Sus scrofa: one gene and its partners. The main gene of each other region encodes a partner of the protein of the gene in region 2 in a complex. Links are inferred from orthologs where the notes say so. Each region holds a gene or a part of one and is shown on either strand. Other genes may lie near its edges.

Region 1 (3,755 bases), on a different chromosome or scaffold from region 2:
TTGATCCCTGGCCTAGGAACTTCCATATGTCATGTGTATGGCCAAAAAATAAATGAATAAGAGAAATGTTGTATTCTTTTTTCCACTGTTCAACATGGGGACCAAGTTACACATACATGCATACTTAATTTTCGCTCCCATTGTTGTGTTGCGATGTAAGTATCTATACATAGTTCTCAATACTACACAGCAGGATCTCATTGTAAGAGAAATGTTATAGAATCTTTGCTTCTGGATAATTTCAAAAATACGGGATGGAATAAATGATTTCTCTCTCTCTCTCTCTTTTTTTTTTTTTTGCTTCTCTTAGGGCCGCACCTGTGGCATGTGGAGGTTCCCAGGCTAGGGGTCTAATTGGAGCTACAGCTGAGCAACTCGGGATCCGAGCCATGACTGTGACCTACACCACAGCTCATGGCAACGCTGGATCCTTAACCCACTGAGCAAGGCCAGGGATTGAACCCACAACCTCATGGTTCCTAGTCAGATTTGTTTCTGCTGCGCCACAATGGGAACTCCCATAAATGACTTCTTAAACTGTATAATTTATATACATTACAAAACCCTTATCAAATAATATCAAAGTGGCTCTCCTTCTCTAGCATATTTATGAATATATATAGTAGTATTCTCTTGCCTTGTAATCCTTAAAATACTAAATAGATCATGCTATGAGTATAGGGAGTAGGGAATCATCACGAATACTCTAAATTTATTATTTTTCAAATGCGATGCCCAGGTTGAAAATGAGATCTGTAGTGTGATGTGGGATTCAGAAGACCTTATTTACAGTCCTAGTTCCCCTAAAGATTTGTAATATAATCATGGGCAGGTCACTTAACTTCTGTTTCTTCATCTGAGAGGTGGGATAACAATATCTTTGTTGCTTAACATAATATCTTTTTCTGCATACTTTTTTCCCTGCATACTTTTTATTTTTAAAGATGTCTATGATGTTTTATCTTTGTGATAAAAAACCTCTACCTCTCTATAAGGTAATGGTAAACAAACCAAACCGTACTCCTCTGTGAAGAAGCTGGTGAAGAGAAAAAGATGGCATGGGATAAGGAATCACGTAGGTTAGGGCCGGTCATTAGTAGAACACTGGATTCACAATCCTGGCTAACTGAAGAAATTCCAGGGACAAAAATACATTTAATCCTCCTTGTTGTGATTTTAACAGAAATGGCAATGGACAGCCTACGGCTGTTCCTCTCAAACTTGAAAAAACTGTTTAACCTCTGAATGAATGTTCCTAATATATAAATATCCAACTTAAATTTATAGGTACTTCATTAATTCTTTAATTTATAGCAATCTTATCTCAAATAAATATACCTCGAGAGAATCAGTTTATCTTTCCACCTTATATATAACAGCTATAGTAAATTGGCAAATTATTTTAGTAAGTATATTTACCAATTCTTTTAGTTAATGATGGTGTTTTTTCAGCACTTCTCACCTAAAATAGAAATATGAATTGTAAGTTAGAATTCTTCTTCTTCTTCTTTTTTTTTTTAATCTTTTTAGGGCTGCACCCACGGCATATGGAGGTTCCCAGGCTAGGGGTCTAATTGGAGCTGTAGCTGCCGGCCTACGCCAGAGCCACAGCAACACGGGATCCAAGCCGCGTCTGCGACCTACACCACAGCTCACGGCAACGCCCAATCCTTAACCCGCTGAGCGAGGCCAGGGACCGAACCCACAACCTCATGGTTCCTAGATGGATTCGTTTCTACTGCACCATGACAGAAACTCCTAGAATTCCTTTGGGTAGAAGGCAATTGCCTCAATTTTAAAAGTTACATTAATAATGAATTTATTAATTGGCTTTATTCCAATTTAACATATGAGTAGTCATAAGAGGCACAGACTGATGAAGCTAGAAGTTAAAAGATCATCTAACCCAATCCATTCATTTCAGACAAGACAAGAAGGTGAGGCTCAGAGAGATTAAACAACTTGATCAAGACAATATAGTTCATGGCAGGGCCATAATGGCAACTCTTGTCTCCCATTCTAGTCCAAGGCTCTTTGCACATAGTACTGATGCTTTGGCCACCCCAGGCCACACTATCAACTTAGATACATTTTTGAGATTTTAAAGACTGTCTATGAAAAGATAAGAACTATTTATGAATATAAATCACATTATACAGTATAATTTCAGAAGGCTGAGTGATTTAAGTATTTTACTTCTTCAAGCCCATTTTTGCCCTGAGCAAAACTTAAATCAGTTCAATTCCCTTTTCAAAAATATGCTTTGGATTAAGAAAAACTAGCACTCTTCAAGATCTCCCCTTTAAGCTCGCCACATATTATTAATTTAAAATACTGTACTGTGAATTTTACTCCAAGAAATCATTGCAAAACAAGTTGTGTAATATTTGAAAATACATAATCTATAATATATGACTTACCAGAGACTCCTCAATTGAATGTGTTAAATGAATACTGTTTATATATTCTTGTCCCTTCTCTTCTAACAGATATTTACACCTAAACAATTAAAATAAAGTTAAACTCTAGTAACTCATAAATTAGTAAGGTATAAGTAAAAATATACTTTCCATCATCTTAATTCCATTAACTTGCTTTTTGATCTAAGGAGCCACAAAATAAAATGTTATTCAATTCTCTATCCAACCTTTATTTTAAGGTTAAAATAATGTTCCCATTGTTATCTTAATATGCTAATGTTAGTAGAGCAAAAAATATAAACTTGAGACCCTTCAACTTTTAAGCAAGTTATTAAATTAGCACCTTGATATTTTAAAAGAAGCTTTAAATAGTTAATCTTTTTTTGGGGGGGCATGCAGAAGTTCCTGGGCCAGGGATCAAACTTGCACAACAGCTGTAACCAGAGCCACAGCAGCGACGCTGGATCCTTAACCTACTGAGCCACAAGGGAATTCCTTAAATCATTAATCTTACTGAGTTTTATTTAGATTAACTAATTGTACATTTTAAAGGAATTTTTTAGGCTTTCAGTCTTTCCTTTTAAGGTTGCTAAAGGTTAAGATTTATTTTCAAGTTACCATTTTGAAATTTCAAGTTGTACTCTTTTGCAGGCCAAAAATTCATATCACTGTACGCATCTGTGTACTTTATTTTATTTATTTTGGTTTTTTTTGTGTGTACTTTATTTTAAAGAGGCAAGATGACAAAGAGACATTTAGAATGTCATCATTTTAAGATGCTACTAACTGTAAACAGCATGATTATATGATGTACCACCACTGCCAATTACATTATCACCCACCATCACATGTGTCCAGATTTTACAAATTTAAACTGTGAACAATTATGTGTCTTAGAATCAGTGAGATTCAGCAGTATTTGCTAAAGGGGTGTGATAAGTTCTCTGCAACATGGGTTCTCTTGTCCCCATCATTAAAGAGCCCACTTCCTACAACAACAAAAGCAGACATTCCTAATTTGGTGTTTAGAAATGGAATCATCTGGAGCTCCTGTCGTGGTGCAGCAGAAGCGAATCCAACTAGGAACCATAAGGTTGTGGGTTCAATCCCTGGCCTCGCTCAGGGGGTTAAGGATCCGGTGTTGCCCTGAGCTGTGGTGTAGGTTTCAGATGAGGCTCTGATCTGGCATTGCTGTGGCTCTGGCGTAGGTTGGCAGCTGTAGCTCCGATTGGACCCCTAGCCTGGGAACCCCCATATGCTGCAAGTGCGGCCCTCAAAAGACAAAAAAAAAAAAAAAAAGAAAAAAGAAAAGGAATCATCTGAATGTCATATTTA
Region 2 (3,755 bases):
TCCTGGGGCACAGGCTGGGGACGCTACCTCAGGCAGCTGGGACTGGAGGCTCGCTTTCTCGGCCAAGGCATCATCAATGGACTCCAGGAAGCTCCTCTCCACCACGTCGAAGGCCTGGGGGCACAGGACGGGGGGCAGAGGCCAGTTCAAACACTGCTGTCACCTGATGCTGAAACACCCGCTATGAATAGCGACAGCTGTATCAACTGCGGGCCATCAGGTGGTGAGGGATTCATACACGGCAGCGCTGGGCACTGCTGCTCCTGCAAAGTTTGACAACGACGTGGCCCCATGGCACTGCTGCCTTCCCAGTGGCACTGCAGAGTGACCAGAGAGGCAGGGACGGCAGAGAGGTAAGCGCACAGGCTTGGAGTCAGGCCGCCCGGGGTGATGGCCAGCTCTGCACCTGCCGGCTGGGCAGTCCCAGCCTCCTCATCTGTGAGACACAGGTGACTGAGAGAAGCCGCCCTGGGCACCCAGAGCGTGGCTCAGAGTTAGTGTCACTGCCACATCCTGAGGGACCCCCAGGGGCACTGGCTGGGAATCACCGGCACGGGGCCCTGAGACCGGGGACAAGGCAAGAAAATGGCCGGACACGCTGTTTTCGAGGAACAGGAATCCACCCTTCTCGTCTACAGCTAAGTGCTTCCGGACCTGCTTCCAAGTGGAGATGCCAGGAGGGAAACGTCCAAAACAAGAGCAACATGCGGAACTGGCATCGGGCGCCAGCCAACCATGAGTGAGGAGGCCCAGCCCGGGCACCCCCCGTCCAAGGTGACCGCCCTCCCTCCCCCTCCCCGGGAGCCCCTCCTCCAGGGCCCCGCCAGCCCATCGTGGGGCAGGACCGCTGCTGGCTGCCCAGCCCTGCGCCCTGGGACGTGGGCGCCCTCCCAGAGCTGCTTCCTCTGCAGAGCCGAGGAGCCGGCAGGGCCTTGAGACCAAGCCCGGGCTAACCCGGCGCTCCACGGTTGCAGGGCCGACTGCACCGTCAGGGAACCGGTCACGGGCAGCCTCCTCGCACCCGTACCTGCAGCAGCACCCGCCGCACGTCGGCCTCAGTGTGCTCGGCGCTGAGCTGGCCCAGCAGGAGCTCCGCGGACAGCCGCTGGGCCACGAAGTTGGTCACCCGGTTGCCATCGTAGCCGTTGAAGACCCCGTACAGGAAGCAGTTGTTCTCACTCCTGACAGAAGGACAGGGTGGGTGGCAGCCTGAGACCAGGGGCTCACAGAAGAGCGACGCCAGTTCCAGGGGGAGGGGGGTGGGGAGGGGAAGGAACTGGGGAAACAGAAGATGCGGCAGCAGTGGTTTCAGGGGCCCAGTGGGTCCCCCACTTGGGCCATCATTTCACTCTGGCCGTGACCTCCTGGACTGCCCCCTCCCCCCAGAGCAGGCCCTCAGCCGGTCTGAGGTCTAGACGTGGCAGCGACAGGAGACACACCTCCCATGGGCCACGTCTCGCTAGCAAGTCCCATGCAAGACTCTACAAAACTGCTTTTTCTGGCTTGCAAACCTCTTTCTGATGCCCAGGAGAGCACTGCTGGCACTCTCACCTGAACTTGAGCCAGTTGTCCTCCGGTGGGTGGCTCTCGGTGCCCTTGCCATCAGCAGAATAGCTGCGGTTGGAGGCTGAGCCAACCCCAGAGAGGTGGCAGAGCGGCAGGTCATCCGTCCAGCTCGGCTGCTGCTCCTGGAGGGACACCAGGAAACCCCAATGCATTACCGTCTGGCCCAGAGCAGACCCCACTTCAGCGTCTTCTTCCCCAACCCAAACCCGGCAGGCTCCGAGCACCACCCGCAGGGTTCCACTGCCTCCTGGAAGATGACAAGGGGGGGGTATGAACAAACACTTGCAGAAAGGTTTGCATGGCTCCATGGCTACTCTGCAAACTCTTCCCCAGGAAACCTGAAAACGACCAGAGTCCCCAAATGCAAGGCTCAGTTGTGTCTCCAGGTGAGCACTCCACCGTGGAGCACGAGTGAGAGAGACGCTCCTGGTATAAACTCTTCGTTGGCTCCCCATCTCACAGTGCAGTGGCTCTGACTCTGATCCCTTGGCACTGGTACAACCACAGATTTCCAGAAAGGCTGATCCTGCGGGGCTCAGGACATCTGCTTTGCAGGCTGGGGGTGAGTCACGCAGCCCAGGACCCCACCTTGAGAAAGCAACTTACTAAAGCTTGCCTCGGTCACTCTTCCTGGCCCCCTTGCCACCCTAGAATCCTCTACCACCTGCCCTCCTCCTCCACTAGTACCACACGCTTGCAGTGCCCTGTCCACACCCCCTCTTTCCCTCCTTGTCCTTGTCTAGCAACTTTCCATGTCCTTTGGGACTCTGGCTCAGGAGTCACCTCCTCCAGGAAGTCTTCTTTTGGGAAGCCCCTCTCCAGGCTTGGGTGCCAGCCCTCTCGTGTGCCCCTCCTACACCTGGCCCCCGACTCCTTCCTGCCCCTTTCTGATGCCCATTCTACCCCAAGATCTCAAAGCAGGCTGTTCAGTATAATCACAACAGAGCTTCACACACACACACACAATCACAACGGAGCTACACACACACACACACACACACACACACACACACACACACGGCAGCTTCACACACACAATCACAACGGAGCTACACACACACACACACACACACACACACACACACACACGGCTGTCCCGGCCCCTGCCCAATCTCCTCGGGGTGCATTCTGAGCACCTGCAGTTTCTAAGCCCCAGAAACAGCCCTGACACAAGGCCCGGGCTCGATCCACTGCCTTGCCCTGAAAGCTTCCCCTACACCTGGCCTCACCCGAGACCTGTGCCTGGTTCACAAAGACTCTCTCGTGCCACACGCTGAACTACAGCGAACTACAACAACGGGGAAAATCAAGGTTCAACCGTAAGGAGGGTAAAACCTGGACTGAAAGCTTTATTGAAACATTAAACAAGCAGGAATACTGTGCACAACTCCTTAGAAGTTAGCAGTGACAGTCTTCAAAAAAGGATGTGAAAACCACTTCAACAGGCTTTTGCAATCAGATATGTGAAAACCTGTGGTTACCTCTTGTGGCAAATTTCATCGTTTGTTTATTTACTTACTGACAGGGAGTGACTTTTATGGCTTTTTTTTTTTTCATTTTAATTGCTTTTATGCTGTATTTATTCTAGCGCTTTGGTTTTGTGCTTTGCACCCTAGAGCAACTTCAGCCGGGTGTGGGAGGTTGTTTTTATTTTTAAATTGACATACAGTAAAACTGCCTTTCTGATGTGCAGGTCTATGAATTTTAATACTTGCAGAGATTTGTGTAACTACTGCCACAATCAAGATACAGAACAGCCCGTCATCCCGAAACACACCGTCATGCTGTCCCCTCTGAGCCACAGGCTCTGCTAACTCCAGGCAACCACTGACCTACAGTCTTTTCAAGAAGGCCCAAAATGAGATTATGCGGCACGTAACCCCTTTTCCCCCTCTTTTTATTGTGGTTAATACCCAGGACAAAACTCTAACCACTTTTAAGTGTACATTTTACTGGTATGAAATACGGTTATATTGGAGTTCCCTTTGTGGCTCAGCAGTAACGACCCCAACTAGAATCCATGAAGATGCAGGTTCAATCCCTGGCCTTGCTCAGTGGGTTAATAAGGATCTGACATTGCCGTGAGCTATGGTGTAAGTCACAGATTCAGTGCGGATCTGGTGTTGCTGTGGCTGTGGTGTAGGCCGGCAGCTACAGCTCCAATTCGACCCTAGCCTGGGAACCTCTAT
Region 3 (3,755 bases), on a different chromosome or scaffold from region 2:
TTTAACATTATTTATGTTAAATATCCACACAATGTAGATGAGGAGTGCTCAAACTTAAACAAGTCTTGTTTTCTATCATCTTACCCTACATGTTGCTTCTAGCATACATGATTTCACCTGGAAGTGCCAACCCCAAAGGAGATTTTAAAAAGAACAAGCAGGAGTTCCCGTCGTGGCGCAGTGGTTAACGAATCCGACTAGGAACCATGAGGTTGCGGGTTCGGTCCCTGCCCTTGCTCAGTGGGTTAACGATCCGGCGTTGCCGTGAGCTGTGGTGCAGGTTGCAGACGCGGCTCGGATCCTGCGTTGCTGTGGCTCTGGCGTAGGCCGGTGGCTACAGCTCCAATTGGACCCCTAGCCTGGGAACCTCCATATGCCTCGGGAGCGGCCCAAGAGATAGCAACAACAACAACAACAACAAAAAAAAGAACAAGCAAGATTCCAATGATTTATCAGCAACTCACCTGGCATAGTCACCATAGGTGTCCCTGCCCAGAGGACATCCATCCCTGTGGTGTGCCCATTACAGAGTGGAGTGTCCAGGCAGACATCAGCTAGCTGGCCTCTCCGGACATGTTCCTCTTTAGGAGCAACGGGTGAAAAAATGATGCGGTTCTGGGGAAGGCCCATATTTTGTGCGTACTGTTGAATATTAGGTTCTCCTACTGCTGGAAAACGCAATAGCCATAGTACACTATTGGGAACACGCTTCAGAATCTAAAACAGGGAAAACAAGAACGGGTATGAATATTATTTCTGCCCTTCTCAAGAAAGGTTCTCTTTAATTTCTAATAATTCTACCATACTCTATTCTTTTCATCCAGATAGCAGCCTACTGTGAACTTAAGTCTTTCCTTCACACAGATAAATTAGATCAACTGAATTATAGGTTCCTGTTCTGCTTAGCTGTCCCCAAAGATAGTTCAAAGAAAGAAGAGACGGATGCAAGCAGACACAAAACAACTTGCTAATTGGCAAAATCTGAAGCAGCTATGGCCTATGGGAATTGATACTAGCAGTGGTTTTGGTCCATGAGATAGGAATTTTCCATTTCAAATTGTAAATCCCCCACCATGGCACAACAAATAAAAGTTAGCTCACATCTGCCAAACTTTATTTGCTTAATCTAGGTCAGGGGTCAACAGACTTTTTCTGTAAAGGACCAGAGAGCAAATTATTTTTGGCTCTGGTGCCAACATGGACCCTTTCATAACTATTCAATTCTGCCCTTGTCACTGGAAAGCAGCCATAGGCAATATTTAAATAAGTAGGCGAGGCTGTGTGTCAATCAAATTTTATTTACAAAAACAGGCAGTGGACTAGATTTGGCCCAGAGACCATAGTTTGCCAACCCCTAATTTAGATCTACATCTACTCAATGTATCATAAAAGTTCACCATCCCTTCTCTCAAAGCCACGGGAACAATGGACTTCAGAACATGGACTTCAGAATTTAGAATATTTTGGGAGTTCCCGTCGTGGCCCAGCAGAAACGTATCCAACTGAGAACCATGAGGTTGCAGGTTCAATACCTGGCCTCGCTCAATGGGTTAAGGATCCAGTGTTGCCACAGAAGCGGCTCAGATCTGGTGTTGCTGTGGCTGTGGTGTAGGCTGGCAGCTGTAGCGCCAATTAGACCCCTAGCCTGGGAACCTCCATATGCCACAGGTGTGGCCCTTAAAAAAGCCAAAAAAAAAAAAAAAAAAAAAAAAAGAGAGAGAGAGAGAAATTTAGAATATTTTAGATTTTAAAAACAAACTAGTACAGTGAATATAAATTACGTAACACTCTCAGCAAGAGCTCCCTGTAAACAAACATATTATTTTTGCATCAAGATGTAGGAATATTCATACTAAATGGAATAAATAAAGAACCATAAATAGCCTAACTTCAGTTCAGGTAGTTCTGCTGCCAAATAAATTTATCACGAACTTATGAACATGCTTTTTTATGGTTTTTTGGTTTTTTTTAATGAGGAGGTGAAGATTAAGAGACAATAAATCTGTACTCATCTGCTTCTTCTTCTCAACTCTCCTCTCTCCTTTAAAAATACAAAACAGATAAAAAACTAGATAGTAATCAGGAAAAAAAACCAAGAATTATCTCCATTTTAAAAAGCTCTATGGAATAAGAGCCAGATACAGATAGCAAAGTTTAGAACCTTCAGATGTCCTGCTTATACAAACTGGTCTGATGAACTAACTGAAAGGTAATGGCATAAACCAGTTCCTTCCTGGTTATAACTCTACAATATTGGAAGAATGATGTTAAACATGGGTCGGATGTACCTAACAGCTCTGCTATCAGATTAGACCATGGGTTGGCAAACTACAGCCTGTGAGCCAAATCTGGCACATTGCCTGTCTTCATAGATAAAAATTTCTTGGAAGATACCTACACTCATTCATTCACATAATGAATATGGTGTTTTCCTGCTACAATGGCAGAAGTGAACAGATGTGACAGAGTATAGACGGCAAAACCAAAAGTATTTATGCCATCTGGCCTTTTAAGAAAAAGCCTGCTGATCCCTGCTTTTCGACACATAAATTCTAAAAGTTCATAATGTGACATTTAGACACTAGGAAAAATCAAAAATCACTGAAAATCTACAACCCTTGAAGATTAGACATGAGCACAACAGCTCCTGAATGGAGATGGGGGGCGGGGTGGGCAGGGCAGTCTCAGCAAGATGGCCTATATACAGAATCTCTTAGAGTCTCTAGACAACAATGAATCCACATATACTCACATTTGCCCACATCTGCAAAGTAGAAGGGTCAATTTTATATAACTGATTAAAGTTACAGTACACAATAGCATCTTCTGGTAACCCATACTGAGAACGTGTGGTGACAATAATAGTACGGGGAACCTCCTCTCCAGTGGCAGCCTTATTGTTGATCTAGAACAAGAAAAAGAAAATGATGATTATATTTAAAGTCAACATAGTCCAATAGTTTTCAATCAATAAAGAATCCTTATGATGCAAAGTGGTATAACCATTTTTTTAAATTGAACTATAGGAGTTCCCATCATGGCTCGGCAGTTAACGAACCCAACTGGCATCCATGAGGATGAGGGTCCTTGGCCTTTCTCAGTAGGTTAAGGATCTGGCATTGCCATGAGCTGTGATATAGGTTGCAGACGCAGCTCAGATCCCGCACTGCTGTGGCTCTGGTGTAGGCCTGCAGGCTACAGCTCCGATTGGACCCCTAGCCTGGGAACCTCCATATGCTGCAGGTGCAGCCATAAAAAGACAAAAAACAAACAAAAAAATTGAAATACAGTTGATTTACAGTGTGTTCGTTTCTTCTATAAAGCAAAGTGAGTCAGCTATACATATATATTCTTTTTATATTCTTTTCCATTATGTTTTACTATAAAATATTGAATTATCATTCCCTATGCTATACAGTAGGAGTGGTATAACCATTAAAAGTCATGTCTCTGAACTATAATGAGAATATATTCATGATACCTTAAAGGAAAAAAGCTACAGCGTTATCTTAATTTGGAGAAGACTGTACTATGCAAAGTCTTACCCTAGCCAGAGTTCTCTTCAAATCTCAATTAATCCAACAGCAAGCTTTTGCTCACTTTTTTCTCTGTGAATGAAATGTCTTTTTCTAAATCACACCCACTTTTCAAGGCTAAATTTAAATTACCCTTCCGAACAATCTCTACGAAGACTGCCTCTCCTCACACTGATCATCACTATTTCTATGTACACAATTACAGTTTTATCTCACAAT
Region 4 (2,578 bases), on a different chromosome or scaffold from region 2:
CTCTGGCTCAGATTCAATCCCTGGCCCAGGAACTCCTCATGCTGCTGGGCAGCCAAAAAAGAAAAGAAAGAAAAAATACAACATCCATCCATGCACGTGCACACATATATTTAAAAGAGGAAAGGGGGAGTTCTTGTCATGGCTCCGTGGTTAACGAATCCAACTAGGAACCATGAGGTTACGGGTTCAATCCCTGACCTTGCTCAGTGTGTTAAGGATCGGGCATTGCGATGAGCTGTGGTATAAGTCACAGATGCGGCTCAGATCCCGAGTTGCCATGGCTCTGGCGTAGGCCAGTGGCTACAGCTCCGATTCGACCCCTAGCCTGGGAATCTCTATGTGCTGTGGGTGCAGCCCTAGAAAAGACAAAAAAGACAAAAACAAACAAACATAAAAGAGGAAAGGGGAGTTCTCGTTGTGGCTCAGTGATAATGGACCCAACTAGTATCCACGAGGTTCAAGGTTCCATCCCTGGCCTTGCTCAGTGGGTTAAGGATCCAGTGTTGCCATGAGCTGTGGTGTAGGTTGTAGACCCAGCTCAGATCCCTCGTTGCTGTGGCTGTGGCCTAGGCTGGCAGCTACAGTTCCCATTCAACTCCTAGCCTGGGAACTTCCATGTGTTGCAGGTGTGTCCCTAAAAAGACCAAAAAAAAAAAAAAAAAATAAAAGAGGAAAGGAGTAACATCCCAGAATTGAAGGAGAATTCTTTGTTTTGGTGTAAAAGGTCAAAACTGTGTTTTGCTTAATAAAGCATACATTTTTGGCAGTGTGTTAAAAACTCTTTTTTCCTTCCAATCTGCATCACTGATAGCTGTTGACTTGCTGGAGAAGATGCTTGTTTTGGACTCAGATAAGAGAATTACAGCAGCCCAAGCCCTTGCGCATGCCTACTTTGCTCAGTACCATGATCCTGATGATGAACCAGTGGCTGATCCTTACGATCAGTCTTTTGAAAGCAGGGACCTCCTTATAGATGAATGGAAAAGTAAGTCTGAGCATGATGAACACGTAGCTTTAAAAATCTTTGCCAGGTGAACCACAAACCAAAAGCTGTCAGTGGGGGAGGGCAGGGGGGTGGGGGGTGGAGGTGCGGACTCCTGGTTAAATCCAACTTGTTAAACCTTGTCGTTAGGTCTCTAATGCAGAATGAGTATGTTCCTCTGATGGAAACTGTCTGTTGTAGATGATGACACTCTGGACCTTTGAGATGCTTCTGTCTGGTCTGATTTTGTGCACAGCCCCTCACGTCTGCATAGAACTTTGAGGTTCTCAGAATTTTTGCATTTATACCATCTTTCCCAGCTAAGTAGGGGATAGGGTGCATTTACAGTTTTATAATTGATAGAACTTGGGTGAAGAAAGTTAACATCTTAACTGTTACCTTAGACCTAATTAGGGACACAGCCAGAAATAGAACCCAGGTCTCCTGTGCTCAGTTTCATAGTCTCTCCATAAAACACACATTCAGAAAACTCCAGTGAAATTTCAAAAGCCAGGACTATCTGTTGCTACAGCAAATGGGATTACTACGTTATTCTCAAGCATCTTCAGAGAGTTTTAAAGAGGAGGCACTGGATGATTAAAGAAGCAATAAAGGATGCTTCTCTTGTATGTATCCTTGAACTTCTGTGGAATCACATGTTCCATCAGGATATCACACACAAACGGTGAGGCAGTTATTTGAAGTGGCCCATGGAACCACTAGTCTGGACAGGGAGGAAGGATCTTGAGCTTAGAAGTTAGGGTGCTTGCCAACAAAATGAATAGTCCGAACTTTCACGTCCTCCTTTTCCTTCCTGATTTCTAGGCCTGACCTACGATGAAGTCATCAGCTTTGTGCCGCCACCCCTCGACCAAGAAGAGATGGAGTCTTGAGAATCCGGTTTCTGTTCTGCTGATCCCACTTCACTGTGAGGGGAAGGCCTTTTCATGGGAACTCTCCGAATATCATTCAAGTGCCTCTTGTTGCAAAGATTTCCTCCGTGGTGGAAGGGGGGGTGTGTGCGTGCCCATGTGTGTGTGTGTGTCTGTCTGTCTGACTTTGTGGGAGGGTAAGAGATTATGAGCAAACTATGATCACAGTGACTTTACGTGGAGCGACCCCTGCTCCGTGGCAGTCTCTGCTTGTTCTTTGTGAAAGTCAGCTGGGCAGCAGGAGCTGCCATCTTGTTAGGGCTTCTTAAAAGCAAAGTAAAAAATGTTAAACATCCCAGCCCCCAGTCATGCTTTTGCCATTTTGGCCTCTCCTGCGGCCACCCTTGTTGGTAGGGGTTTGGCTTGACCACACCCCGCAGAGGCACAGAAGAAGGCTCGCACCGTCTGTTCGCTTCACATCTGAAGCCGTCCCTTCAAAACGTCAGCCAAAAGGACTAGCTGGCTTCTCTGCGCTCATCTATGACTAACTTGCTTAGCATGATTCTCAGAACTCAACAGGTGTACCTAAAACTATAAATGTGTTTGTGCCTTAAAAGGAGAGAAGAACGTGTAGTTAAGAGTGCCATGGATGAAGTTCTGAGCCAGGCAAGTAGTCAGATTGTCAGACGGCCAGTTGTGAACCCGAAGTAACAAGGGAGCCTTC

What was found.
Region 1: the proteins of TAB1 (region 2) and XIAP are in contact, whole or in part, in a crystal structure (PDB 2POP), measured with the Homo sapiens proteins. The link is inferred for Sus scrofa from reciprocal best matches to the Homo sapiens genes TAB1 and XIAP. Residues at the interface, in NP_006107.1 of Homo sapiens: Glu99, Ala100, Arg103, Thr201, Gln202, Leu203, Glu212, Asp213, Phe216, Arg217, Gln220, Arg241, Glu269, Glu271, Ile272, His273, Ala275, Gln276, Pro277; in NP_001158.2 of Homo sapiens: Phe33, Ala34, Ser38, Gly39, Pro41, Ser43, Ala44, Ser45, Thr46, Arg49, Tyr75, Ser78, Ala79, Val80, Gly81, Arg84, Phe92, Ile93, Gly95, Tyr97, Leu98.
Region 3: the proteins of TAB1 (region 2) and OGT are in contact, whole or in part, in a crystal structure (PDB 4AY6), measured with the Homo sapiens proteins. The link is inferred for Sus scrofa from reciprocal best matches to the Homo sapiens genes TAB1 and OGT. Residues at the interface, in NP_006107.1 of Homo sapiens: Pro389, Val390, Val392, Pro393, Tyr394, Ser396, Ala397, Gln398, Ser399; in NP_858058.1 of Homo sapiens: Asp441, His506, His508, His509, Asn567, His568, Pro569, Gly641, Tyr642, Thr643, Lys644, Ala646, Gln849, Phe878, Pro904, Val905, Ala906, Pro907.
Region 4: the proteins of TAB1 (region 2) and MAPK14 are in contact, whole or in part, in a crystal structure (PDB 4LOP), measured with the Mus musculus proteins. The link is inferred for Sus scrofa from reciprocal best matches to the Homo sapiens genes TAB1 and MAPK14. Residues at the interface, in NP_079885.2 of Mus musculus: Val385, Tyr386, Pro387, Val388, Ser389, Val390, Pro391, Tyr392, Leu405, Ser406, Leu407, Val408, Met409, Pro410; in NP_036081.1 of Mus musculus: Gly110, Ala111, Asn115, Ile116, Cys119, Gln120, Lys121, Leu122, Thr123, Asp124, Asp125, His126, Phe129, Val158, Asn159, Glu160, Asp161, Cys162, Leu217, Thr218, Gly219, Arg220, Thr221, Leu222, Asn272, Val273, Phe274, Ile275, Gly276, Ala277.

The regions. Positions count from the first base shown.
Region 1 is NC_010461.5:101,420,606-101,424,360, reverse strand, and holds part of XIAP (E3 ubiquitin-protein ligase XIAP), read right to left. Parts: intron 2,500-3,755; coding exon 2,421-2,499; intron 1,463-2,420; coding exon 1,420-1,462; intron 1-1,419.
Region 2 is NC_010447.5:8,839,201-8,842,955, forward strand, and holds part of TAB1 (TGF-beta-activated kinase 1 and MAP3K7-binding protein 1), read right to left. Parts: intron 1,689-3,755; coding exon 1,552-1,688; intron 1,182-1,551; coding exon 1,028-1,181; intron 115-1,027; coding exon 28-114; intron 1-27. UniProt on the Homo sapiens protein: Key adapter protein that plays an essential role in JNK and NF-kappa-B activation and proinflammatory cytokines production in response to stimulation with TLRs and cytokines.
Region 3 is NC_010461.5:57,548,407-57,552,161, reverse strand, and holds part of OGT (UDP-N-acetylglucosamine--peptide N-acetylglucosaminyltransferase 110 kDa subunit), read right to left. Parts: intron 2,906-3,755; coding exon 2,753-2,905; intron 718-2,752; coding exon 465-717; intron 1-464. UniProt on the Homo sapiens protein: Catalyzes the transfer of a single N-acetylglucosamine from UDP-GlcNAc to a serine or threonine residue in cytoplasmic and nuclear proteins resulting in their modification with a beta-linked N-acetylglucosamine (O-GlcNAc).
Region 4 is NC_010449.5:31,857,379-31,859,956, forward strand, and holds part of MAPK14 (mitogen-activated protein kinase 14), read left to right. Parts: intron 1-811; coding exon 812-985; intron 986-1,183; exon of another isoform or gene 1,184-1,265; intron 1,266-1,807; coding exon 1,808-1,875; 3' UTR 1,876-2,578. UniProt on the Homo sapiens protein: Serine/threonine kinase which acts as an essential component of the MAP kinase signal transduction pathway.